Xenopus tropicalis: one gene and its partners. Each later gene encodes a partner of the first gene's protein in a complex. Links are inferred from orthologs where the notes say so. Each region holds a gene or a part of one and is shown in the gene's direction. Other genes may lie near its edges. The genes, in order: morf4l1, epc1, brd8, phf12, mbtd1, vps72 and sin3b.

What was found.
Region 2: morf4l1 (region 1) and epc1 share a complex: the UniProt entries of both Homo sapiens proteins name them as parts of the nuA4 histone acetyltransferase complex. The link is inferred for Xenopus tropicalis from reciprocal best matches to the Homo sapiens genes MORF4L1 and EPC1.
Region 3: morf4l1 (region 1) and brd8 share a complex: the UniProt entries of both Homo sapiens proteins name them as parts of the nuA4 histone acetyltransferase complex. The link is inferred for Xenopus tropicalis from reciprocal best matches to the Homo sapiens genes MORF4L1 and BRD8.
Region 4: the proteins of morf4l1 (region 1) and phf12 are in contact, whole or in part, in a cryo-EM structure (PDB 8BPA), measured with the Homo sapiens proteins. The link is inferred for Xenopus tropicalis from reciprocal best matches to the Homo sapiens genes MORF4L1 and PHF12. Residues at the interface, in NP_996670.1 of Homo sapiens: Glu201, Lys204, Pro205, Leu207, Val208, Asp209, Trp211, Asp212, Tyr251, Ala252, Glu255, Val256, Gly259, Ile260, Glu262, Tyr263, Val266, Met267, Thr270, Gln271, Leu272, Leu273, Tyr274, Lys275, Arg278, Pro279, Tyr281, Ala282, Leu285, Arg304; in NP_001028733.1 of Homo sapiens: Cys62, Glu64, Gln81, Cys82, Asn84, Pro86, Pro204, Leu206, Arg207, Arg208, Pro209, Phe210, Leu212, Leu213, Ile214, Ala216, Ala217, Arg220, Asn221, Pro222, Thr223, Gln224, Phe225, Gln226, Leu227, Pro228, Glu230, Leu231, Thr232, Thr330.
Region 5: morf4l1 (region 1) and mbtd1 share a complex: the UniProt entries of both Homo sapiens proteins name them as parts of the nuA4 histone acetyltransferase complex. The link is inferred for Xenopus tropicalis from reciprocal best matches to the Homo sapiens genes MORF4L1 and MBTD1.
Region 6: morf4l1 (region 1) and vps72 share a complex: the UniProt entries of both Homo sapiens proteins name them as parts of the nuA4 histone acetyltransferase complex. The link is inferred for Xenopus tropicalis from reciprocal best matches to the Homo sapiens genes MORF4L1 and VPS72.
Region 7: the proteins of morf4l1 (region 1) and sin3b are in contact, whole or in part, in a cryo-EM structure (PDB 8BPA), measured with the Homo sapiens proteins. The link is inferred for Xenopus tropicalis from reciprocal best matches to the Homo sapiens genes MORF4L1 and SIN3B. Residues at the interface, in NP_996670.1 of Homo sapiens: Gln217, Gln219, Tyr222, Ser348, Tyr350, Glu351, Val352, Ala353, Pro354, Pro355, Tyr357, His358; in NP_056075.1 of Homo sapiens: Cys394, Arg396, Arg402, Ala403, Pro405, Lys406, Thr407, Tyr408, Ser462, Phe463, Pro464.

The regions. Positions count from the first base shown.
Region 1 is NC_030679.2:118,095,689-118,099,960, reverse strand, and holds the start of morf4l1 (mortality factor 4-like protein 1), read left to right. Parts: upstream 1-1,472; 5' UTR 1,473-1,536; coding exon of another isoform or gene 1,537-1,576; intron 1,577-4,272. UniProt on the Homo sapiens protein: Component of the NuA4 histone acetyltransferase (HAT) complex which is involved in transcriptional activation of select genes principally by acetylation of nucleosomal histones H4 and H2A.
Region 2 is NC_030682.2:22,921,438-22,925,612, forward strand, and holds the start of epc1 (enhancer of polycomb homolog 1), read left to right. Parts: upstream 1-1,375; 5' UTR 1,376-1,653; coding exon 1,654-1,806; intron 1,807-1,933; exon of another isoform or gene 1,934-2,858; intron 2,859-4,175. UniProt on the Homo sapiens protein: Component of the NuA4 histone acetyltransferase (HAT) complex, a multiprotein complex involved in transcriptional activation of select genes principally by acetylation of nucleosomal histones H4 and H2A.
Region 3 is NC_030679.2:47,817,573-47,821,072, reverse strand, and holds part of brd8 (bromodomain-containing protein 8), read left to right. Parts: intron 1-532; coding exon 533-601; intron 602-713; coding exon 714-891; intron 892-1,303; coding exon 1,304-1,408; intron 1,409-2,261; coding exon 2,262-2,306; intron 2,307-2,862; coding exon 2,863-2,922; 3' UTR 2,923-3,500. UniProt on the Homo sapiens protein: May act as a coactivator during transcriptional activation by hormone-activated nuclear receptors (NR). Isoform 2 stimulates transcriptional activation by AR/DHTR, ESR1/NR3A1, RXRA/NR2B1 and THRB/ERBA2.
Region 4 is NC_030678.2:33,959,008-33,962,507, forward strand, and holds part of phf12 (PHD finger protein 12), read left to right. Parts: intron 1-505; coding exon 506-664; intron 665-1,895; coding exon 1,896-2,640; intron 2,641-3,500.
Region 5 is NC_030686.2:23,317,743-23,321,851, reverse strand, and holds the start of mbtd1 (MBT domain-containing protein 1), read left to right. Parts: upstream 1-1,309; 5' UTR 1,310-1,419; coding exon 1,420-1,440; intron 1,441-3,266; coding exon 3,267-3,468; intron 3,469-4,109. Other genes in the region: utp18 (U3 small nucleolar RNA-associated protein 18 homolog), read right to left, coding at 1-170. UniProt on the Homo sapiens protein: Chromatin reader component of the NuA4 histone acetyltransferase complex, a multiprotein complex involved in transcriptional activation of select genes principally by acetylation of nucleosomal histones H4 and H2A.
Region 6 is NC_030684.2:137,929,488-137,932,167, reverse strand, and holds the end of vps72 (vacuolar protein sorting-associated protein 72 homolog), read left to right. Parts: intron 1-316; coding exon 317-434; intron 435-524; coding exon 525-701; intron 702-790; coding exon 791-935; intron 936-1,186; coding exon 1,187-1,565; 3' UTR 1,566-2,180; downstream 2,181-2,680. UniProt on the Homo sapiens protein: Deposition-and-exchange histone chaperone specific for H2AZ1, specifically chaperones H2AZ1 and deposits it into nucleosomes.
Region 7 is NC_030677.2:111,959,178-111,962,677, forward strand, and holds part of sin3b (paired amphipathic helix protein Sin3b), read left to right. Parts: intron 1-3,031; coding exon 3,032-3,138; intron 3,139-3,224; coding exon 3,225-3,378; intron 3,379-3,488; coding exon 3,489-3,500.

The DNA.
Region 1 (4,272 bases):
GGAAAGTCTCCCATAGGGCTCAATGGCACTCTGCAGCTCCAACCCGGCCCAAGGAAAGTCTCCCATAGGGCTCAATGGCACTCTGCTGCTCCAACCCGGCCCAAGGAAAGTCTCCCATAGGGCTCAATGGCACTCTGCAGCTCCAACCTGGCCCAAGGAATGTCTCCCGTAGGGCTCAATGGCACTCTGCAGCTCCAACCTGGCCCAAGGAAAGTCTCCCGTAGGGCTCAATGGCACTCTGCAGCTCCAACCTGGCCCAAGGAAAGTCTCCCGTAGGGCTCAATGGCACTCTGCAGTTCCAACCTGGCCCAAGGAAAGTCTCCCATAGGGCTCAATGGCACTCTGCGGCTCCAACCCAGCCCAAGGAAAGTCTCCCATAGGGCTCAATGGCACTCTGCAGCTCCAACCCGGCCCAAGGAAAGTCTCCCATAGGGCTCAATGACACTCTGCAGCTCCAACCTGGCCCAAGGAAAGTCACGATACTGAAGCTTGAATGAATCCGAAACTTTCGTCGGCTACAAAAAAGTTGCGACAATTTACTAAAAAAATCGCAAAATACCGATCATTACGGAAAAAACGCATTCGGACCCTTTTCGGACGTTCGTGGATTAGTAATTGTGCCCCTATATGTTCTGGTTTTCCTCTATAGTTACGCCACTGCTGCAGTCCCGGACTGCCAGGAGGAATAGGAGGTCCTGTAAGATATTGACTAATAAACAGCTGCAATATAGATTTATAAAAATTGTCTTATTTGTAAATTTTAAGGGGGGGGGGCTAAAATAAATTTAATGTCAGACCCATTAGCTTTTAGTTATGCCACTGTTTGCTGGCCTCTGTGGGTGACCTCTGTGCTTATACCTGCCCTGCAGGAGTGTGCAAGAGTTATTAGTGTAAATTGACACTTTATGAGGAAAAAAGACCAGAATCCATAGATAGAACAGAGAAAATTTCACTTTGCTTTATACTTATTAGTAACTAGAGCGCAAATTAACGGAATTAACAGCGCCCGGCTAGCTCAGTCGGTAGAGCATGAGACTCTTAATCTCAGGGTCGTGGGTTCGAGCCCCACGTTGGGCGTAACGTTTTCATTCGGTAAATTTTGCCTTATGTATTTCCAGACACTAAGTAAACGTTAATGCGTGAGATTTTGCGCCGTTGTATGAAAAAATACTTTCTGGAATATGTAAACTAAGCATTCAGCCTCGAGTAACATTAAAATCGATATAGAAATAGATACCTGAGGTACCTACCTAGCATTTAGTCTTGAACAGTAAATGTTATTTATTAACATTCCATCTTATTTCCACTGTAGCAGAAATGCGAAGATGCTTGTTTTGTTTGTGAGGGTGGGGGAGGTTGCGCCACTAAAGCCGAACTACATTTCCCATAGTGCCCCGGGAGGGCTAGTGGCTATTGCGCATGCTCGCCACATTGGGCATATCCCTGCGCGCATGCGCAGGCGGCGTGCGGTGACGTGCGGGTCCGCGCGGTGAGTAGATGCGGCGGATCCGTTCCCGGGAGCCGCGGAGTTTATAAATGGCGCCGAAGCAGGACCCAAGGCCTAAGTTCCAAGAGGGTAAGCATAAGCCATTGTACGTGGCTTCCACCATTACACCGTAGTCTTCACTCACCCCTTTGCTCTAAGTGAACGCCGAGCGGTAGACCAGACGGCAGAGCGCTGTGCCCCAATAATGCGCGCAGTTAATGGGCTGAAAGATATCGCATCTGCGGCTCTTGGATTTGTTCGGCTGCAACTGGCAATACAAGCTCTTACGAATGTCTGAGAGTTGCAGTCAAACAAATCCGCCCCTCGCCTTTACTGCGTTAAAGGGGTGACATACATCGTTCAGTTCTCTAGCCTGAGGACCGCCGTGGTTAGCTGTATGGGGGAAGCTGGGAAATGTAGTTCGAGTGGGGAAGTCGCAGCAGAGTGTGTTCCGTGTAAAATCTCGCATTTTCCTTATGGGGGAGGGGGCGTGGCATTGTCTGCAGGCGCAGCAAGCGGGAAATCTTTGTTGTGCGCCGTGCCTCAGTGCGGCAGTAGCTCAGATGGGCAGTCGCAGGTTGGTTACCCCGTTTTTATAGCGCGACAGTAGCTCAGACGCTTGGTTACCTCTTCGCCATTGTGGGAGTGACGGGACCATGACTTCATAAGAATGCCTTGCTTGTATAGGGAGCAGCTGGACGGGGATAGGCTTGCCTACGGCTTCTTGTGCCTGACACATGCAGAAATACAGTGTTTAGCTTGACCAGTTGTAATGGGGGTGTTGGTTTATATTGACCTGATCTGTGTTTAGTGCAGGGATGGAAAATGTGGCCTTCCAGCTGCTCTCTCTACAAACCTGCACCCAAACAAAAGTCTTGTTGCTTTGGCACCTTCCTTACTCTTAGGGCTCTGGCACACGGGGAGATTAGTCGCCCGCGACAAATCTCCCTTGTCTCGGGCGACTAATCTCCCCGAGTTGCCATGACCCGCCATCCCACCGGCAAACATGTAAGTCACCGGTGGGATGGCAGGGGAAGGCAACTCGGGGAGATTAGTCGCCCGCGAACAGGGAGTTTTGTCGCGGGCGACTAATCTCCCTGTGTGGCAGAGCCCTTAATGGGCAAGGTTAGGTCCACTAACTTTACACCATTCCTATATCACTTTGCTGTCACAAAGGTCCTATCTTGGTAGAGTGAAGAGCAGGCTTGCTTCTAAATCTCTCACCAGCATGTGTTCTAGTACTGCATCAAAATGTGAGGAATCTGATTTCTTGTTCTGTCATTCCAGAATAGTCCACCATAGTCCTGCCTTACAGCATCTTTGTCCTCTTTAGCCCTTTCTTCATTTTCTGTTGCTGCTGTAGTTGGATCTCTCTGCATCTGTGGATCTCAGCACTGTTGGCCAAAGACATTAATGAAGAAACATTGGGACTGTACTGTCACTGAATCATATCCCTATTAGTGAAATTTGGAGTTGTCAATTTGCTCTTCTAGTTACACTTGACAGTCTAGCCTGAAGTCCAGTCTTTGTGAGATTTGGGATAAAAACTTATTTCCTGACCTAGTAGTATGTGGAACAGTCTCTTTCAGATATCTTTAGTCATGTTATGAGGTTAGGTTTGGTGGCCATGGGTGGTGGAGTCTAGAACTAATAAAGCCAGACAACCACTGGTATAGAGAATGTCTCATCTAGAGAATGAGCTCTTTCTGCTGCCAATCAACAGCTTAAATTAATTGACACTGTTGGTGTATGTATAGCTGCCTTTTTAACATATCAGAAACCTAATGGAGTTGCCCTTACTATGATATGCTTTTTTAGAGGAAAGGCTTATGCAGTTAAGTCAAAATGCTCCTCTCCATCTGTCACAACTCCTAATGGTCTGTCACTTTTTGCATGGAGGTTCACACGCTCAGAGGTCCTCTTTGTGTGTGAACAGGGGCCCTTGCTATTAAATACCAGTGGTGACACTGGTGTTTTAACTACTGCTGTTCTGCACCAGAGGACTTTGCTGTCAACACACCTCAGCATATTTTTTTTTTTTTTTAGTGTGTAAGCCAACATCTCTGGTGATCTTTTGTTTTCTAACTTGTAAGTAACTGTCAAATTCTAAATACTGATTGGTTGCTATGGGCACCATCACTAGTGATGTTGGCTTACACACTGTAATAAATATGCCCCCTGATTTACCACTAACCTTGTGGCCATGGTTTACCAGCCACAGTTGTTGAACTGTAACACCACACACCATTTTTACTACTTAGTGTGTGTGTAAATATGATTGATACCATTTGTTATAGGAGGCTTGTGCTTACCCTGCCAGTGAGACAGTGGCTGCTTGTGCAAGATTTGGAAAAGCCATAGGGGGAAAGAAGTTGCTCTTTGTACTTTTAGCCAGAGGAAGGCAGAAAGGATTCATGGCAGCTTCTGTATATATTCTGTATATTCTAGTATCCACTTTACCTTCTGTTGCAATTGCTGTTTTCCCAGTTGTCACCGGAAGAATTTTACTGTGAGTAAATTAAAAGATCCTGTGCTTAGACTTACTAACATACGGATCTCTGTGTAGCAAGTTTGTATATTGGCTATACCAGTGCTGCTTAAACTTTTAGTCTTGCATATGCTCTAAAGCTTGCCTACTCATGGGCATCCTAAATGGCTTGTGTTTGGGCAGGTTCCAGATTGTGCAGTATGACCGTATGTGAATGGGGAATTTAGTATTTGTCTAATCTAAGGTGGTAAAGAACCACACCCCAGGACCCGTCAGTGTATATCTTTGCCCAATCTGG
Region 2 (4,175 bases), on another chromosome or scaffold:
ATTAACTTAAAGGTGAACTACCCTTTTAAAGTAAAAAGATGCAGAAAGATCTGTACAGAACCATCTGTAAGGCTTTTATTTCTATTAGTTATATATTTTGGTTGGAAAGACACATTGGTGCAAGGGAGCCTTATTTACTGGCATATATGTATATTTGCAAACAATGCTATCTACAGACTCTGCCAAAAAAGCAAAGGTTAAAAAATGACCAAGGATGAAATACTTGGTTAGATTAAATAAGAAATAACTTCTGGATAAAGAATGTCTTCAACATAGGAAGATGAATACTTCCTTTATAACTCCATAGCTGTCAGAATAATGGGTCTGGATAGCTGCTGGGCTCCTACACACGGGCATTTCACAGTGTTTTCCTGCAGCGCATTACACCGAAAATGCAGGGCGAATCACCTGTGTGTAAAAGCCCAAAGCTGGTTCTCCTCTTGGTACAAACCAACAAGACTTTGGTGGGCATGTGGCTGCCACCTGTATTTCTATGGGCTATGGTGAAAATTTTGGCGAAACTGCTACAAAAGCAGATACAGTAGCACCCCAATTTTTGGCACCCTGGAGAATGTAAAATTGTGGTTTGACTGTATTTGTTGTTACGGGGGCTTGAAGTGGACAACCCTCCATGTATGAAGACCCAGTGTCAGACTGGCCCACCAGGATACCAGGAAAACTCCCCGTGGGCCCTCCTGATCATTTGGCCTGTTTCATGTTCATTCCCTATTTCAGTATGGGAAGAAAGAGGAGAAATAAATGGAAGAATATATGCTAGCATGTTAATAAAAGGGACTAGGAGAATAAAGAGGCTGGGTGAGGAAAAGAGAAAAAAATAGTTTGGAAAGCGGGCCTGGGGTCTAAGGTTTTCTGGTGGGCCCCTGGTATCTCAGTCCAACACTGGGTTTAGGGTTCCCAGTCTGACACTGATGAGAGCCAATTGAAGTCATAAGCCCATATGCATGGAAGGCTGAAATCAAACAATGTAGCTGATAGCAGTCCTGACTGGACAGAAGAGTTCACTTGTGCTACACTGTTTCATGATTTACAACAGGGACAGGCAGTGCTATTAATTGCAATAACGTTTGCCAATAACTTTAATGTCTGTTTATTATAAAGTTGCTTAGAAAGACATTTTCTTTTTATTCACATATTAGTGGTTTATTTCCCTTGTGAAGCTGTTGGTGTTGTTACACATCCCAGCAGGGCGCCAGGTGGAGGGACCCTTCAAGCACCGGGGTCCTGTCACAGAGGCGCGGGCACGAGAAGCGGCTGTGCGCGCCCCCGCTTTTCTCTGCGGGCCCGGAGAGCGCGCAAACGCGCGATGCACTCTGGGAATGGCTGCGCAGCTCGGGTTGGCTGGGGGAGCAGACAGCGGAGTTTTAATGTCCGCCATGTTGGCCATGGCGTATTGAAGAGGGAGGGAGAGACTGGCCCACAGGAGCACACAGACTCCCACCAAACCACCCCCCAAACTGAGCCACGGGCACCGGGAGTGCCAGGATAAGCGCCCTGTCTAATATTAATCATTATTATCGGAACAACAAGGCTGGCGGGGAGGCAGCGAGGGGGGGCGCGGAGAGAGCTCCATGAGAGCGCGGCACGGGAGATTTTCCCCGCTCGTCGGTCGCATGGCTCGCTGCTAGACACACCATGAGTAAATTATCGTTCCGGGCGCGGGCGCTGGACGCGTCCAAACCGTTACCCGTCTTCCGCTGCGAGGATTTACCGGACTTGCACGAGTATGCCTCCATCAACCGGGCCGTGCCGCAGATGCCGACGGGCATGGAGAAGGAAGAGGAGTCGGTAATGCACCGTTTTTCACTTTCTCTTTACCGCTTTTACCCCTCTCCGCCCGGTCCCAGCTCTGCGCAAGCTTACACAAAATGGCCGCCATTTTCCTCCCTGACGGGAACGGGGATGGCGCACATACCTCTCCCCCTGTCATTCCATCCTCGGGGGTGGCTCGTGAGGCTAAAGCGGATCTCCCTGTGGGGATATATGTCCCCGGTGTGTCCGCCGGTGATACCTGGGAAGAATTTAGCGGCCGGGAAGGCACAAAGGGGTCACGTGATGGGGCCGCGGTCCGCCATTTTGTTGTGTGTGTTTCTCTCCCTGTCTTTTGGGGTTGGGCCTGGTTGTTGAGCGGGGTTGCAGCTCCAAGTGCGGTCGCTGGGGGGAGCTGGCGATCAGGAGTTGCTCACCTTGTGGGATTGTTTGTGTACGTTGGGAGCTGATTGACAGCTGAGAGCCGGCATGCTGTAGTAGTTTCTCTGCTGTCTTTGTGGAGTTGTATAGAAACACGCCATTGCTTGAAACTATCTCTTATGTATCGGCCATGTCATATATATGTGTGTGTGTGTGTGTGTATATAATAAATCAGCTTTTTAAGCGTAAACTTAGTTCATGGCACACGTTTTATTCATTGTAGTAGTTCATTCTGATGCCTCCCAGGGGGGTACAATCCCTCCATAATGCACAAATAAACCACTTTGCTGACTTGAGCTTGTGCTGTGGGGAATATAGTCAGTAATATGATCTACTAAAGGTTCTCTGATTAAAGCTATACTGTTAGATGTATATATTTAATGGGGTGTAACACAGGGTTTGGCCAGTGCATTGCTGTCTATTTAGGATTAACCATTGGCTGGAATGGTCTCTCCAACACATACAGGCAGCTTAGCTGACTCCTAATAAAATGTGGCACTAGTGTATATAAATGTTGTAGGAACCTTAGATTGTAAGCTCTGCTGGTGCAGGGACTGATGTGAGGCAGAAATGATGCCTGTAAAGCGCCATGTAATGTAGTTGCATTTTGACAGATTTTCTCCATAATGCAGCCCTGGGTTAATCATCAGTTTTGCATTTTAAAGAAATGTTTTGTTTGGGACCCAGTGTGAAGCTGCTGTGAGGGCTGGGGATTGGCCTCGCTGTAGATAATATATGTAAGTGTAGTATGTTGACATTTTGCTTTTAAGTGAGAGTAGAATTGGCTTTTTCCTTCTGACCTTTGTTGGACTTCTGTAGGAGACAGTTGATGTTTCTGACTGCATGGAGTATATCTGATTGGTAAGCAATGGTAGTACCCCAAGTTGGGTTGCACGTGCCAGCAGTCTGTCAGTGTATGTTATCATCTGCATTCTTGGGGCTTCTGCACCCCAGCTTCCATAACATATTCACATGACTGTATCTGTGTGTGAGCTGGGGCCGTACAGCCTGTCATTGCTGCACCTGTCTGGCGTGAGTGGGGCCATAAGCACTGGGGCACTACTCATCAGTTAATACAAACCTGCTGTTTGTACAGAGTATTCAGTATCGGCCTGACCCAAAACATACCAGAATCAAAAACTACACACGCCTGGCCTCTCAAAAATAAGTAACCTGGTGCTAAAAAAAGTATAGGGAACCCCTACTAAATGGCCATGCAAGGAACACTGCAGCACATGAAGCAACCTTTTGGGGGTGGGCCTCTTCGTCAGGTTCTACTTTGCTGTAAGAACGAAGACGTGTGGCAACTAATCCATGCAGTGCAAATCGGCGCATGATTAGTTGCAGCGTCCTGTATAGTATCCTATGGTGCCGCCACCGCCTTTTTAAAAAGTCACCGCATTTAATCGATCCACATGTCTTCGCCCTAAGGGCTCTGGCACACGGGGAGATTAGTCGCCCGCGACAAATCTCCCTGTGTCGCGATTTGTCATGACATGTATCGCGGGCGACTAATCTCCCCGTGTGCCAGAGCCCTAAAGTGTAGAACAGCAAAGCTCAGGCTAATGGCACAAAGGCCCTTTTCTCAGAACTGCCCCATGGAAGTAAACCTTATCAGGATGGCACATTGTTGTGTAGGTGATTAATTTAAGGTCACATTATCAGTTTCAGACCATGACAGATAAATTAAATCCAAATTTTACTTAGTGTTGGATTAGAGATGGGCTGATGCATTTTTGAAAGAACTTAATGATGCTATAAGTGATTAAAGGAATGTTGTCATGGGAAAATGTATTTTTTTATTTTCCAAAACACATCAGTCAATAGAGCTTCTCCAGCAGAATCCTGCATTGGAATTTGTTTTATTAAAGTTCAAACAGATTTTTTATATTAAGTTTTGAAATTTCAGATGGGGCTAGGCATATTCATTTCTCAGGGAGCCACAGCCATGTGACCTGTCCTTATAT
Region 3 (3,500 bases), about 70 Mb from region 1:
CAGTATTTTATCCCTTAATATCTTGAAATTAATAAATAATTAATGTAAATTGCTAAAGTGCTTAGAATAGCAATCTCTTAAATTTTACATTTAATTATTTTAAAGGTTTACTTTTTCTTTAATGTTAATGTAACAAATCATGGTCCACTTTATGATGTAATTGCACTGACATACACAGTGTTGCCTGTGTGCAGACACACAGATTAGATTTGGCACAAAAAATGCTTTTTCACATTATTGTGCCATCAACTCCAAATCAGCCATTTCTCTGTCTGTGTTAATATGCAGGCAGAGAGTCAGCCATGTGCTGCAGTAGCTTAAGAGAAAACATGTTGGTGACAATTTTCATATTTTCATTGGGACTGTAATCTGAATAACTGTGAATATCAACAAACCTGCTGTGATTTCATTAAAAACTGCTACTGGTTTTACTTTAATCTGATATAGCATTTTAAATCTTTGATATATCAGAGTTTGAAGTTCTCTTTACATAAATCGTAAATCTTAGAGTGTATGTAATCTCTTTTCCTAGATATGCCAATGTTTTCCTGCAGCCTGTGACAGATGATATAGCCCCTGGCTATCACAGCATTGTACACAGGTAAGGCAAGGATGGATATATAATGAATTTGACAAGTTATGTTGTTAGTTGGGCTTAATGATTTTTTATTTGATCCCTTTTAATATCCTTTCCTTTGTTTATTACCTCCAAGACCTATGGATTTATCTACAATAAAGAAAAACATTGAAACTGGATTAATCAGGAGCACTGCAGAGTTTCAACGAGATATTATGCTCATGTTCCAGAATGCAGTCATGTATAATAGCTCTGACCATGATGTGTATCATATGGCTGTTGAAATGCAGAGAGATGTGTTGGAACAGATCCAGGTATCTAATTTCCTGATAACTTCAGGCTAGGCTGAACCATGCAATAGTCAATTTCTAACTAGATTTTACTTTTATGTGGCCTGTATATATTATTTTAGGCACATGGCATGCATTTTCCAGCCATAGACTCAATCTCATTAAGCTGTGACCCAAAAGGACAAAGGAAGCCTACAACCCATGCGTCAATTATTTCAAGACTTAATCCATCTCTTGACCTTTTTCCTCCCCCCCCCCAAGCCAGCACAAATGGTTAGGTCTCCTAGTTTAAGAATTTAGGCTGCTAAATTCAGTTTTGAGTGGTCATTAGTTTCTTGTGTACTTTTAAAGATCCAACACACCATTTATTTTTTCAAAGTATACCTTTTATAATAATTCCAATATAATATGCTCATGATTTGTTTCTCATACACAGCAATTTCTGGCCACCCAGTTAATCATGCAGACATCAGAGTCAGGCATAAGTGCAAAAAGTCTAAGGTTTCGAGATTCAACACGCAAGCAAGATGCTTCAGAGAAGGTAAAAATATCCATGTTTACTAATGTCTGCCAGTGCAGAGAGGCCTAGCTATCACTGTTCGTTATTGATAACAATTATTTCTTTTAATTTAGAGCTGCTTCAATCCCCAAGAAATGTACAGATGTTTATAAAAAAAAAGGCAGTCTGTGAAAGCCCTGTGGCATATCTTTGTGCATGGTGTGGTTGAAAGGGTCTGTTTCAGCTTATCTTTGCCTGGAGTAATGGCCACATTCAACTGATCACGTCATCTGTTGGCTTACTAAAGGGATTTTTAACTAGACAGGCAGACTGTAGGAGGGCATAAGGAAGTCAATATCTCCTTCATAGCAGCTAGGGAAAACTGCAGGCTGAAAATAGATATATATTTAGATCTCTATGTTACACATGCAATAGGGGCCAAAATATTAGTCATAATATGAGAGAAGTCATAAGATTAACAACTGGGGAAAAATTTATATAAAACTGAAATTTATATACTTTTTTACCTTTCAATGGAGGCACTATTCAATCGATAATGTGCGCTCCTAGTATACCGAGCAAATTATGCTGGTCTTTAATTAATAGTGGAAAGTATTTGATACTTTTGCTAACTAATTTTCTATTTATGATAAAGTAACTAAAGTTTTTGGTGGTGGAGTGCTTGCTTTGCTTTCTTAGCCCATGTGAATTTTGTGAAATATTTATATCAAAACAGTGTTTTTCTATGGGTTTCTTGTGTTTGCAACTTTGAGCTTAATGTTGTGGGCTTGTCTTCTCTTCTGCTTCATTTACTGTCACGTGTGTCTGAAATGCGTGTTTTGTGTTGGAGAGTCTCCATGGAATCTGACCTGTTTTTCTGTTTGTCTGTTAACAGGACAGTGTCCCCATGGGCTCTCCTGCCTTCCTTCTCTCTCTCTTTGTAAGTATTGAATTGCTGCACTGGGTTTGAAAGGTTGTATCTTTCATATCCTGCTTCCTTTAGTAATGAAAGCTATCAGACAAAGTCCTGAAAGTGTTTTCTATGTGCTTTATTGGTAATGCTGTTCTGTTTCTACTGCAACTTAAACTGCTTCCTACATTTCTGTGCAGCTTTTTTCTCAAAATGGTGGTTTATAGCAGAGCTTTAGCAAAAAGCTATTCATGTTTTTGCTGGATTTATATAAGTTTTAAATTGCACCTAAAAAAAATAAACCAAAGTACAGAGTGAAATGGAAAAGAAGAATATTTTCTTCAGTGCAGATTTACTATTATTAAGAGCAGCACTTCAGAGAACATGCAAATCTGCAAACAGGCAGGGTTGAGTCAGCACTAGAGTGAGGCAAAGTTAAAAAATTCTGATGTCGGAGAACTGAAGGTATGTAGAGTATTGCATTTTGCCTAATGTGTTGCAATATAAATAATTATGTGTGCTGCAAGGTTTAGCTTAAAAATGCATCCAGGGTGCTTTTCTAATCCTTCCTGTTTTTACCTAATAGGATGGAGGTACACGAGGCCGCCGTTGTGCTATTGAAGCAGACATGAAAATGAAGAAGTGAGGTGTACCCATCTAGAAAATCAGGCGCCATAATGATTGAGTGATCTGTTAGAAATAGAAGAATAGATTGCCATTCCAGTTGAAGCAAAACACTCCCAAACAAAATAGATTGGTTTTTGCCACAAGCAAATTCCATTCACCTATTAAATTGTTGTCAATATATTGTGAATAACTTGTAAATAATGTACAGTAAAACTATGTTTAAACAACTGTCTTGATTTTGTTTTGAATTGTCCAAAACTGGAAAAAGTTGCTGTAATTGAAAATATTTATTTGCGCAATTTGTACTACAGTATATAGTACATTTTAGCCTTGTGTAACTATGTAAATTCACTCTGCCCTGGAGGAGCCTTTTTCTTCTTACTGACTCTCACCTCCTGGGGTAAAATCTAATTTCAGTTCTTTGGAAATATGTGAGAATTCTTTAGCCTGTGTTAATCTTCCCCCCCCCACTGTCTATTTATAGACAATGCTTTAGTAAGTGATTTCAAGCTGTTATTTTTGCTCGTTGGCAGAACTCATATTTAAATGGACCGTAACATCAGTAAATAAAAATACATTTAACTATATACATTTAAC
Region 4 (3,500 bases), on another chromosome or scaffold:
GCTAGTATAAGCTGCCGAATCGGCCCGTGTATGGCCTCCTTTGAAGTACTAAAGACTCTTATTTTGTAATTATTACGTCTTCAATTCCAGATGTAAAATCAATCTGGCTGGACTCATGGCAATCATTTACCCCCAATCTAAAAAGTACATTTTGCATTTACAGTGCTGTTGAAAGAAGAGTCTGTGACAGTTTTAGGGCTGTGGCATACCAAGATGAAAAACGGTGCAGTTGCTTTTCACTTAAAGTGAACTGGTGCACAGACTCCCAAGTGTTTCAACCAACAGTTCAGTTGAACAGAAGCCACATGCTTACACTGTGCTGTATTGCACACTCAGGACTTCAGTAGGAGTTGGTTAGGCTTCAGGAAACTTGCTTTAAACTACTAGGCAGTTTGACAGTCTTGTTTTCTAATCTAATTAGTATATTTGACCATAAATCTTCTCTTCTTTACATTACAACCTCTAATAAATAGCATAATTTCTAACTTGAGCCTATTTGTCCTAGGTTCCAGATGCTATTAAGGCACAGTATCAGGCTCCTCCTCAGTTAATTCCTCCAGCCGGAATACGCGACGGGGAATTGATTTGCAGCGGTGACCCTGGGGAATCTCAAAAGCACCTATTGCACTCTGAGCACTTAGCTAACCAAAGCGAGCAGCAAGAGGTAAGTGCCAGTTTTAACACGTTCAAGCAAGATAGTGCAGCTCCACAGTTTACCTAGCTGACCAGTAATTACATTTTTACAAATTAAAATCTTACTGCATGGATACAGATTCTGTGTGTTACTGTCAGTTGGTCTGACATCCTCAAAAATGAGCTTCCTTCTGTTTTATTAGTGTTGTTGTAAATAGATGTTTGTAAACTGGATCTGTTGCGGTCTGTAAGTTTGTTGGACAGTATGGTTGGTCTAAGGCAGATGCTGCAAACTACTTTTCCCTAAACCAGGCAGGTGTGACTGTGATAAACACGCACACACGTGTGTCATAGCTTGCACTTTTTTTTTCTGGTTTGTCAAAAGGGATTATGCATTAAGAAGCTGGAAATAATATTTTGGAATACCTAACCCAATACAGCTTTTATCCTTGTTATAGGTGCATGTTTTGCTTACTTTTGGTTATCGGTCGGAAGGTAAAAGTTTGCTGTAGTTATGCATGTCCTACGTTTAAATGCCTCAAGCAGCTAGCCTTCACAGTAACAAACTGCAATGGCTTAGGTCTTTCCTGACTGACTTGTAGTTTGAGCCCTACTTGGTGTCTGAATGCATATAACATTTTTAAGCTTTGGCTAGATTGGACATTTTTTGACTTTCACTGTTCTGAAGTCAAAATATAAGTGACATTATACCCCCCAAATCAGAGTTTCTTTGGGAATTAGCTGTTGTCTTACTGTTGGATGCTACCCGCACCTGTGCAAGTTACTGTCTTGCTCTAAGGCTAATGTTACAAAAAAAAAAATGGAAATATTAAGAGCCAGCAGTATATTTTCCTCTTGTGAAAGCATTATTGGCTCAGCTTGCTGCAATTTTAGCCCAGTATGATGCCATTGCTAGAGGGCAGTAGGGGGGCTTGGCTAGCAGTCTAAGTAGTGTGACTTTATGCTAGTGGGGCCATGGTTACCTGCACAGTGCACAGAGATGGGCCATTTCATAGGCAACCATAGGAAGTTCCTTGTGCTGAGTTTGGTTTTGGTGGAAATGTTAATATAGAGTAACTTGCAGTGCTTTATACATACTATTCTGCCTTCAGATAAAGGCACCCAGTTGTATAGCAGGCTATTCTTTAATGAGCTGCTATCCTACATGGCCACAAAGGCTACTTCTTAAATTTACATACCCCCTGTGCAACTTCAGACCTGATATGCTTGATTTAAATTGCTGAAATTGTTTTGTTCTTTAGTGGCTCCGTAGTGTGGTTGCACTTCAGTGCAGCATACTGAAGTATTTATCTGCTAAGCAGATGCCTCCTTCCTGGACCTCTGATGACACAGACTCATTGGACATCAAGCCAGTTATTGCAGCTGATGGCTCAGTTTCCAACTCTCACCAGCACACCGAGGGCAAGCCCCAGTTCCCCACACCTGTAGGATTGCATTCTGCAAGTCAGACCACATCCTTACAAGAAGATACTGCCTATGTCCTAAAACCATGTCTCACAGCTGCTTGTGGAACCACAAATGGACCTGCTGTATCAGAGTCTAAAGCAAATGGGCCTCATGTTAACAGTGTTAGCCCAGAGCCCATGGAACAGCTGATGGACCCTCAAAGGCTGACTGGACAGACTGCAATGTTGTCACAAAGACAAGCACGGCCTCGTTCAGGCACTCCAACAGCATCTGTGCCTCTCCCAAACCATGTTGTGAAAACTGAAACAACAGCAGGCTCAACCATGTGCACTCAGCGGCTGCCAGTACCAGCCATTACCCCTCCAAGCTCCTGTACTAGTCCTGAACCCTCTAGCACTTTGTCAAGGAAAAATGCACAGACTCCGCTTGGGGCTTCTGTGAACCAACATGACTCAAGGCCTGTCAGTTCACCTTTATCTGGTACCAGGGCACTTACACCACCACAAGCTGTTTGTGACATAGTAACCTCTGCAGCTTCAGGGGCCTCAAGGCTTTGTGCCGCAGCACCACCACCTACAGGTAAGCTGGGTGGCTTTTCATTCCTACATGTTTATTATTTTTCTCAAACCAACAGGTCCTGTTTTATGGCTTAGATTCTAGCTATCTTAATAACGGTGGCCAGACATTCTATATGAAACCCATTGTTAATATTATTGCAAGATTTTGAGCCCTAATAATGATTGATAAGGAGAATGATTGCAGTCAGGCAATTTGGACAATTCTGACCGTACCATTTGACTATGTATGGCCAGTCGCGGTGCCCCTAAAACTGATAAACCTCAATCCTGGTGGTTTGAGGCTTATTGGCCATGAGGGAAAATTTTACTTTGGTGAAGGAAGAGGAGATGCATATCCGTGGCTCCACACTTCCTGCTGTTTCCGAACAGAACAATAGAAAGGTGCTGTGTATGTTTATGGATAATCATATGGTTTGTCAGATTGGCCCATGGGCCAATCAGTCTGACACCGTGCTGATTGGGCCTTGTATGGCCACCTTAATGCTGATGTCCCAAGGAGAGTGTTAGTCACCCGCAATAAATCTCTGCTATTGCTGGAGATTAACCGCTCCAAAATGCCTTGCCACCAGCACCGATAGGAATGGCTGGTGGAAAGGCCTTTGCATCGCTTCAGTTTTCCGAAGTCTCGCAAAGTTTCCTCCTACAGGCAGCTTCGGAAAACTAAAGCAATTCCTTTTGTTGCTGGTGGAAAGGCAATTCAGAGCGGTTAGTTGCAGAGATCTATTGTGGGCAACTAACATGGCCAGTGAGACATTAGCCTAAGGGTGAAGACACACAGAGCTACTAGTAGCAGCTACTTGTCACTGTTACTAAAACAGATGTATGTTCTGGCGTTTAGTAGCTGTGCATAAGTACTTTCTA
Region 5 (4,109 bases), on another chromosome or scaffold:
TCTTCTAAAATCGTATCTGTCTCTGGTTTGTCTGCCAAAGCCTTTAAATGTTTGGTCCTCAGCTCCTCCTCCTCCTTCATGTTTTGCTCTTGCTCTGGAGATTTGTCTCTTCGCCTTTTCTTATGGGAAGTCTTCTTTCTTTCATTTTCATTACCCTCGATAGAAAGCATTTCCACAGCAGAATCTGTAAAACCAGCATAAATAAAAAAACATTAAAGTTATAAAAACTCATTTTAAATTATCTAAATACAAGCCATGTTATAAATTGATACAGAGCTAATGTTTACTCAAAAAGTTCAACAAAAACATAGTAGTTTCTTAAAAAGTAACCCAAAGCACTTTCAGATTAGTCCCTGTGGCAGCACAGATTTACCACAAGTAACTAATCTCCCCTAGTATGCCATCTTCCAGTTGCTAATACAAACCAGCCATGTTATAAATTGATACAGAGCTAATGTTTACGCAAAAAGTTGCTAATAGGTAATAGTTAAAAAGTTGCCTAGGTAATTTGGACCTTAGCAACCAGATAGCTGCTAAAACTCCCAACTATATTGCTGCTAAACAAAACTAATGATATAATAATAATAATAAAAGTCATTGCAAAGGTTAACTACCAGTTCTAGCAGAATGCCCACATATGAAATACACAAAATGAGAGGTGAATGCTGGCTGCTAATCTGTATTCTTCTAAAATAATAACTGATCACTTCTGCAATAGGTGTTTTTATGAGTGAACCGTATTTTTAAGAGATACAGTAGTAACCGTATCAATCTGGCTAGTTTGCAATATACAATATACAATTCCAAAAAAAAAACCTGACGGCAAAAATAGAAATGCTTAGCAAGTAAACAGGAGGGACGTGCCTCTTGAGTCTCAACAACGTGTGCAAATGCCAATATAAAACATGCACAAGACACCGTTTTCTTTCGCAGATATAAAGCTGAACGTTCCACTCACTGTGCCCAACGCACGTGGAACTTCCGGTGACCTTTGCCCTCTACAACCCGGAAATACATGTTTCTAGCGAAAGAGACGCAGCAAGATAATTTACCTTGTACCTTTCGAGTGTACTTAAACTTGTATATCCGAAAAAGCCCTTACTGCACCGCTACGTGAAACAATCCGTTTTTAGCACTTTCCGACGTTCTAAGTACTTCCGTAATAGCTACAAGCCACCGGAAGCCACGGCACCCGAAACGTGCCAAACTAGGTTATTCGCGGAGGCACGGCTCTTACTATATAAACCCGCAGCCAATTGCTGTAGGTTTAGCGTTGCGCCTGCGCAGTAAAGTGTTTCTGGTTTTGTTGATATTTTGAAGGAGTTCATTGTTTTGCTCTTTTTTTAGTCTCTATTTTCTTGGATTGTCCCAGCCCGCTGACAGCGGGGGCTGCATACACGATTTCCTCATGAGGGACTAATGGAAAAGACCAAGGATCTGGTAAGTAAAGGGCACGGGGTGTATGGAAGTGCTGCTGCCCTGGCTCTTTTGTTGTCATTTCTGTATGCAACGAGGCCTTGTGGTTTCTGGGAAGTGAGGGTAGTTTGGGCTGGGGCCAGGGTACCGTGCGTTTGGAAACCGGACAAAATGTGTTTAACACTAAGCCTCATGTACAATAAAGTCCTTAAGAAGAGGGTATAGCAAGCCAGCAGGATATAGGCATGTTAAACTCAACACTCCAGCTCTCAGCCTGACTGCTGTTGGTATGCTTGCACTTTCTACATGTACACTCATGATGCTCAGTAAGGTAAAGGTAGGGAATTGGTACCAAAGCCCAACAGATAGGAATTATACACACCTTCCATCTCATTTGCCACTTTGTTGACTTAGTAACTATTAAAAGTAAAGTTATGCCTATGTGTTCATATATGGTGCATTCCACACAATAATTCAGCAACGCATGCATAGGAGCTCAAGTTGCTCTTGAAAGTGTATTATGTTGTGCATTAGGCAAAAAAATAGGCAGACTGATGATCAGTGTGGGAAGTAATGAAAGGCCTTTGTGTGCTATACATTTATTAGGGGAATTCATAAATATAACGTCTGTTTTACACTAATTTTGTAACCCATTGTCCCTAATCTGCAAATGCTTCTGAGCAATTAGCAGTTTAATGTTTTGGCAACCTTGCCAAACAAGTGGGTCCCATAGCTGCTTCCACAGAGTGTAATAGAAGTTCTTTGCTGTGTGTGAGTGTGTGATTTATGGTTATAAGGCACTAACCTGACACTAGGGCTGAAGGCTAAAAGACAGTCTTCAGTTTCACTGTGGAAGCAGTTTATTTTGTTTTCAATGTTGTTCTTTGAATTCTCAACTTCCAGTCTCTGCACACAGCCCTGAACCAGGCTAACAATGTGGGTTCCAGCTATCAACCCAGCCATTTGTTTGCCTCTTCTGTGTTGGTTCATTTGTATTACCTATCTGTTATTATTAGAAGCCAGAAATTGTTAGAATATGTAAAGATTTTTTTACACACTTTTAAATAGTGCATACTTATTTCATTTGTCAGAATCACATATGCTAGTCAAGGCTAAAGTCTGTGTACTGTACTAGTGCATTATTAAACCTTGACTGTTGTAGTTATGTTGTAGAGCCAGTAATTCCACAAATCAGTAGTTCAAAATGATGCTGGGTTTTGTCGCTTTCTTTATGGGAATTGAGATTGGCATTGTCACCTGGTAATTAAGAAGATGCTTGATGCCAATAGGGAAGAAAGGATGGGTTTTATTTTATTCTTTTATCCTGTTTTATTCAGTGAGATGTTCATGTAGAAATCTTTGTGTTTGTATCCAGTAATGTTGCCTTAAGGTTGCTTATGTAGCTAAACTAGTCAAACTAGAAAGGCAACCAGTTCTTGCAGAGAAGGGGAGGATCCTAGACCAACCTACCTTTTCTGAAGAACAAAATCGGCATATTCACATGGGATTTTTTTATTGTAATTATCGCAATGAAAGCAAAAACAAGTTGCTATGGTTTCTGTGCTAGAGCGATATTTTGCTTCTTCTGCTTCCCATCAATCTCCATTAAACATTCATTGCACAGAGCCATTCCAGAATTACTCAACCCAGTATGAGTGTCTTTTTCCTATAATATATGTAAGAAAATACAGGTTTGCATTTTGGCCCCTGCTGAAGTCTTTCCAGTGAAGGAAAGGTTGCTTGGGGCAGAGAATATAGCAACTAGAAATCCATCTAGAAGTTGGGTTTGGTAACAGCAACCAAAGCTATAAAGTCAATTGAAATTCCTTTTTTCTTTTATACATGTTTAGGCTGATCTTTCTTCACTTTCTGAGAGAAAACGTCGGGACTCATTCGGAATGTTTGACGGATATGATAGCTGCAGTGAGGACACCAGCAGCAGTTCCAGCTCGGATGAGAGTGAAGAGGAAGTCGCCCCCTTGCCATCCAGTCTGCCCATTATCAAAAACAATGGGCAGGTTTACACATACCCAGATGGCAAATCAGGAATGGGTATGTAAAGTGATTTTATGTTCAAAGAAAAAGGGATATGTGCAAATGATGAGCCATTTCTCTCAATGTGCTCTAGTTGAAGGAACAGTGTTGCCCTGCACTGGTAAAAGTTGTCTGTTGTTGCAGAAACGCTTCTGCAGTTTATTTAAACAAAGCTGCTGTGTAGCCATGGGGGTAGCTATTCAAATTGAAACAGGGCTAAATGGCACAGGTTACATTGCTATAACAGTTAAGCTCTGTAAAACACCATTGTATCTTACAGACCTCATCTGCTGTGCATTTTCTCAATTGCTCAGCTTGAATTGCTTCCCCCGTGGCTATACAATTGCAAACACACAACTTTTACCAGTGCAGGACAACAGCACATTATATTTTAATTACTTTAAAACACTTTTTAAATTGTTGATGTTTCTTTAAAGCAAGTTGTAAAATTGCAGTAACAACAAAGCAAACTTTGCTTCTCTCTGCACGTACTTTTAATACTTACTGGAAAATCAATGTAAATAATTATTGTGAAAACATTTTCACAGGGAAAATTATTTTATCAAGTTCAGATTTTTCTTTCTTTTCTGTACACAAAAGGAAGATGTATTACTCAGTGTTGTGTGCACTGCAGAGCTATTGGCTTTCTTTTTTAATGT
Region 6 (2,680 bases), on another chromosome or scaffold:
GAGAGCCATGCAGCCTTTCTTTTATATCTGTGTGTGTCTTGTACTTACTGAGAGCCATGCAGCCTTTCTTTTATATCTGTGTGTGTCTTGTACTTACTGAGAGCCATGCAGCCTTTCTTTTATATCTGTGTGTGTCTTGTACTTACTGAGAGCCATGCAGCCTTTCTTTTATAGCCGTGTGTGTCTTGTACTTACTGAGAGCCATGCAGCCTTTCTTTTATATCTGTGTGTCTTGTACTTACTGAGAGCCATGCAGCCTTTCTTTTATAGCCAGGCTATGCTACTTTTTTAATATTTCCTTGTATTCCCCAAACAGGAGCCAATTCAACTCCTTAAACCAAAGCCCAAGAAAGCAGATGCCCCTCCCAGCAGTGCAGCAAAAAGCCGCCCAGAAAAGCCTCACCCTCAGGAGACACCAGAGGACGCAGTAGACAGTGAGTATGCCGCGGGCAGTGAGCTAGGGGGTTTCCTATGCTCAGAATCCGATTGGCTCTCCTAACTAGTCTTCCCCTTTAAACTCTCAGGCCGCAAACAAATGCGCCAATCGACGACGGAGCACACGCGGCAGACTTTCCTGCGAGTAAAAGAGCGGCAGATCCAGTCCAAGAAAAAGAAGGGGCCCCACCAGGACCGACCGCTGACCCAGGTGGAGCTGCTGGAAGAAGCCAAGATCACCGAGGAGATCAACATCCGCTCCCTAGGTGCGTGAGTACCGCCACTCCCCGTCCCGCTCCGGTGCCCTCCCCCCCCCCCCCCCCGTGCTCCAATGGTTTCTCCCTTTCTCCCACAGAGAATTACGAGCGCCTGGAAGCCGACAGGAAGAAGCAGGTCCACAAGAAGCGACGGTGCGTCGGCCCCACCATCCGCCACCACTCGCTGGTCATGCCCCTCATCACCGAGCTCAACGTGAAGGAGGAGAATGTGGATGTGGAAGGGTAGGTGCAACATGGCAGCTCCTACTTTGTACAATTCCCTCTTCCCATTTGTTATGTGTAACAAGGGGCATCCTCAGTGGGCAAACCCATCAGTCATGTGATGCTGCCCTGTGTACATTACATTTCCATCCTTGATATTGAAGCAAACGCCTGGTTGTTAGGGTCAGTGACCCTAGCAACCAGATACTCACTTTCTTAACCATTACAACGTTTTCTCTTGTTGCTTTTCTTTTATGTGTTGGGGGCCACAGGCTGGATCAGGAGCAGACAGGGGACGGCGCCCAAGTTTCGTCCGCGGGCAAATGCTCCCGCACTTTCATAACATTCAGCGACGACGAATCCTTCGAGCGATTCTTCCCCAGGACCAAGCAGGGCAAGTTCTCAGTCCGGGACATCTGCCCCGTTACCCATAAGCCGGCCCAGTACCGAGACCCCATCACAGACATCCCCTACTATAACGCCAAAGCCTTCAAAATCATCCGGGACGCTTACAAAAAATACATCACCACGCACGGCCTGCCTAACGCCGCCATGGCGGCCGCTATGGGCCCCGCCCCCAGTTCTGCTGACGCCGCCCAACGCAACACGAGGCAGAAAATCATTATCAAGCAGAGCGTGCCAAGCGCCTGATACAGCGCCCTCTAGCGTCTGCCGGCCATTACAGCACTCTGAGAGAGTTATGTACAAAGGATTATTCCCATTGGGAAGCTGTAGAACATCTACAGGGGCCACATTGCTCCTCTGATTCCTGGAGTAGAAGAAATGGGAGGGGCCAGGGGGTTGAATTTCTTAATGAGCCCCCTCACATTTGGGGGGGGGGGGGCTGCTCCCCTTAGCAGTAATGTAATTGGCCGCCATTCAGTTCAAATTACCAAATGGTAAACCCCGCCCACCCCAAACACACACAGGGGACTGGGACACCTGCTTCCAATAGCAGCTAAACAAACAGTATGGGGGGTGGGGCAAAGGCACAGATGCAGTTACCAGGGTGGCTTTAACCTGACTGACGTACTGTATGTTATATAGGGCTGAGCTCTCTCTATAGGCTACTATCTGGTTGCTAGGGCTTGATTACCCTAGCAACCACACACCAGGTCCGATAACACACTATAAAAATTGAAGTCAGTTTGCATTTTGGTTTCCAGAGATGTTTTGTTGGTTAAATGCTCCTAGAGCACTGGGGGGGGGGGGGGGGGACTGTCTGTTATGTACATTATAATAAATTTGATTAGTAATTTCTGTGAATTGTAGTTAGTTGTGAGTTTTATTATGGCTTTTCATGCTGAGTAAAAGTACAGGGCGCCAGTGGCAGCATAGGGATTCCCCTGTACTAAGCACAATTCAGCAGGAACAGCCCCCTAAGTTTGCCCATAGCCTGTACAGAGAGATACCATAAAACTATGGCACATAGGGATTCCCCTGTACTAAGCACAATTCAGCAGGAACAGCCCCCTAAGTTTGCTCTTAGCCTGTACAGAGAGATACCATAAAACTATGGCACATAGGGATTCCCCTGTACTAAGCACAATTCAGCAGGAACAGCCCCCTAAGTTTGCCCATAGCCTGTACAGAGATATACCATTAAACTATGGCACATAGGGATTCCCCTGTACTAAGCACAATTCAGCAGGAACAGCCCCCTAAGTTTGCCCATAGCCTGTACAGAGAGATACCATAAAACTATGGCACATAGGGATTCCCCTGTACTAAGTACAATTCAGCAGGAACAGCCCCCTAAGTTTGCC
Region 7 (3,500 bases), on another chromosome or scaffold:
TGAATATACTGTTGTTGAAATCTAAAAAAAAAAACTATGCTTTACATTATTTTTGTTAGCTAAACAGGGAAACCAAAGCTACCTCATGTTTAGTTAGTTGCATGTTAGATAATTTGAATACCAGTGCACAAATGAGCCAAAGTCCATTATGCAGGCAAAATATTTGTAAGATTTCCTGTAATCTAATTATTTAACTTGCAGGGACCAAATATGGAGTAGCTTCAGTTTGCCAAGTTTATCTCAAGGAATAGATTAGTCACAAAAAGCATGTTTAGCACAAGTCCTATTTATTGAAAAAAGGGAGTGTTCTGCCCCTTTTAAAAACATGCTAAGCAAGTCTCTCTCTAAATGTGACACTCAGTGTGCATGAATCATTGAAAGCAAAAAAAGATATTGAAATCTCTCATGTAATACTTATTTCAAGAGATCTATGGATTTGTGTATGTTACATTGTTGCATGAAGCTAAACACTTGTATTTGTATCTGTGAAAAGGCACATGTGCTTCAAGTGAGGGCACTCACGCTCCCTGGGGGCGACAAAGCAACTGCAAACACCCCTTTACTGACTAAAATGGCAGTTGTCTTGGGTAAAACATTTTGTAGTGTGTAATGGCATGACATTGCCTTTGCTTGCAACAATTCTCACTGTTAATGATGTCAAGTTATTTTGGAGTGTTTTGTTGCTGCTGTAAGATGCAATTTCTACCCAGTGACAAAGCTTGTTGTGTGCCAATCTCCTTTAAACTTGACAAAACTTCAGGTTTTCCTTCTTTGGATAGCTGACCATGTAACAGGTTTTTGGGGTTTTTTTTGACACGGCATGCCACTGAGAATGCCAAAAAAAAAAAATGCACCAAATCCAGGATTTGGTTCAGAATTTGGCCAAGTTTCGGACTTTTTCAGCAGGATTTGGGTTCGGCTAAATGCATAGTCCTGGCCGAACCAAATTCTTAAAATCACAGTAAATTTTTGTCACATAAACACGGAAGTTAAAAAATTTGCACTGCACATGCAGTTCTTCCATCTAGTTTCCTTCCTAGTTTGCATATGAAACTTTGGATTCAGTTCGGTTTTCAGCTAAATCTTTCGCAAAGAATTCAGGGTTCGCCAGAATCCGAAAATAGTGTATTTGGTGCATCCCTCAAAATAAAAAGAAGTGATGAAGAAAGCACTTAACCAAAGAGAATATACTCTACTTATATATAACAAGCTAGTTTTCCTGATATTAGTGTAAGGTAGGATAAGGTCAAGATCATAGGAATATTTGTCTAGAAAATGGGGGGCATGAAATGAAGGACATCACAGTAACTTTGTTTCAAATATCAGGGAGGCTAATAACTCTATCTGATAATGTTGGGGATCTCAATCATAAATGCCTTTAATTGGACTTCTGTTGTTCCTTATAATAAAATCAACTTTAAGCCCACCATACACGCACCGATGACAAAGTTTCGTACGATATTTGGTGTGTGTATGGCGGCTCGAAGAGGCTACCGATATCGCAAAAGGCTGCAGATATCGGTCGACTTTTCGATCCGCCAGGTTAAAAGATTTTGATGGCGCCCAAGCAAAATCTACGTTCAGGGCTGAATCGGCAGATGGAGGTAGAATTTCTATTGTTTCTACCTCCATATCTGACGATTCAGCCCTGAACCACAGTGGAGGGTGGGAATGACCAATGGTTGCACAAAAGATTGAAATGCTACGAGTGAATTTGGTTTAATTAACTGTGTCTTTTGTTTTATTAACCCTGCAGTGCTTATTACCTCTATCCTACACTCTAATCAAAACGCAGTAGGGTAGATTGCCCTTTACTGGTAGGCAGCTAAATAATACCACATGAAAAAATGATATATCCACAGCACACAGTTTAAGGGCTAGTTTAAACATGGATATTAGTTTTAAAAATACAGGTGCCTGTCTGGAAAGAGCAATACAGGTTCCCCCACACAAAAACTGCTCACCCCACCTCTGGTCCAGGTGCAACATGCCGCAGACCTTGCACTCAGGTGCAAAAACTCACGGCCAGGGTGAACCTACTTCCAAACAAGAAAGCATTATGCTTACCAAACAGTCCTGTTGACCCGGGTGCTCCTGCCCTGAGTCTGTAGCCAGCGGACCAATCTCGTCACAAAACTTCACAAATTGGCAGTGCACTCCAGGACCTCTCTGAGGAAGTGCGCTGTCACGAAATGCGTAAGACCTCAAGTTGTGTTTTTTAAATGCGCAAATAAAGGTTGATTGATTTTAATACCAGCTATTGCAGCTTTTTATGCTGACCTGGAGTGCACTGCCAATGTGTGAAGTTTTGTAGCTAAATAATACCCCCAGCTTGTAAGAAAATATTGATTGCTGGTTTATAGGTATGGGAGGAGTTGTAAACCTAAAACCATAGTGCCTAATACATTTTAAGCAACTTTGCAGTGTATATTCAACACAATTCTTCAATTATTTCAACTTTTTTTGGAAATGGTATTTAAAGCATTTTTTTCCCCTGCTTTTTCTTGCACTGCTAACTCTTGCAGCAAAATAGAAGATGCCAGCTGAATAACACATCTGTGAATAAGCATGCAGGGCATTGTGGGAAGTGTTGTGACAATATAAATTTAGTTCTTTACTTTAAGAAAGTGTTTGTCAACAATAGCATCTATAATGTTTTCATTTGTAAGAACATGGATTAAACTGTTTAAAAGAATTATAGGTATGGGATCTATTATTACAAAAACATATAAAAATATATAAATATAACATTTCACACTTACCCCATCATCATCATGTATGATTAGGTCTACATAGATTTCATCCTTTTTAACATCAGGTGGCACTGGGGGGGGGGGGGGAATCCATTATTCGTGCAGCAGGGAGAAGTTTTCCCTGAGCATACCTGTATGTTCCTGACTGCTAGAGAATGTTAATGTTCTTTCAGTGTCAGTGGAGAAGGGTATACCTGAGCTTAGCCAATCAGTAATCCTTTATCCAGTATAATGTGTTTGTTTTATGAGTGTGAAATGTCTACTTTTTTAAATTATAGGTGGAAGATGCTCTTTCTTATTTGGACCAAGTAAAAATCCGTTTTGGAAGTGATCCAGCTACTTATAGTGGATTCTTGGAGATTATGAAAGAATTCAAATCTCAGAGGTATGGTTTTTGGCAGACCAGGATAATTTTTTTATGCTATAGAGAAGGACACTGCTCTAATTTATTTTTTTTTTTTTTTTTTGCAGCATTGACACTCCTGGAGTTATCCGCAGGGTCTCTCAGCTGTTCCACGAGCATCCAGACCTGATGCTTGGATTTAATGCCTTTCTGCCACTTGGTTACAAAATTGAACTTCCAAAAAATGGCAAAGTGGTTGTTCAGACATCCCTGGCTAGCCCTGTAAGTGACACCAGGATATAAAAATCGGGGGTTGGGCAGATAAAACACTGTATGCTTGGAGCAGATTAATAAAAAAATACACTGAACTGAATTTTTTTTTTTTTTTGTAGGTGTCATCAGAT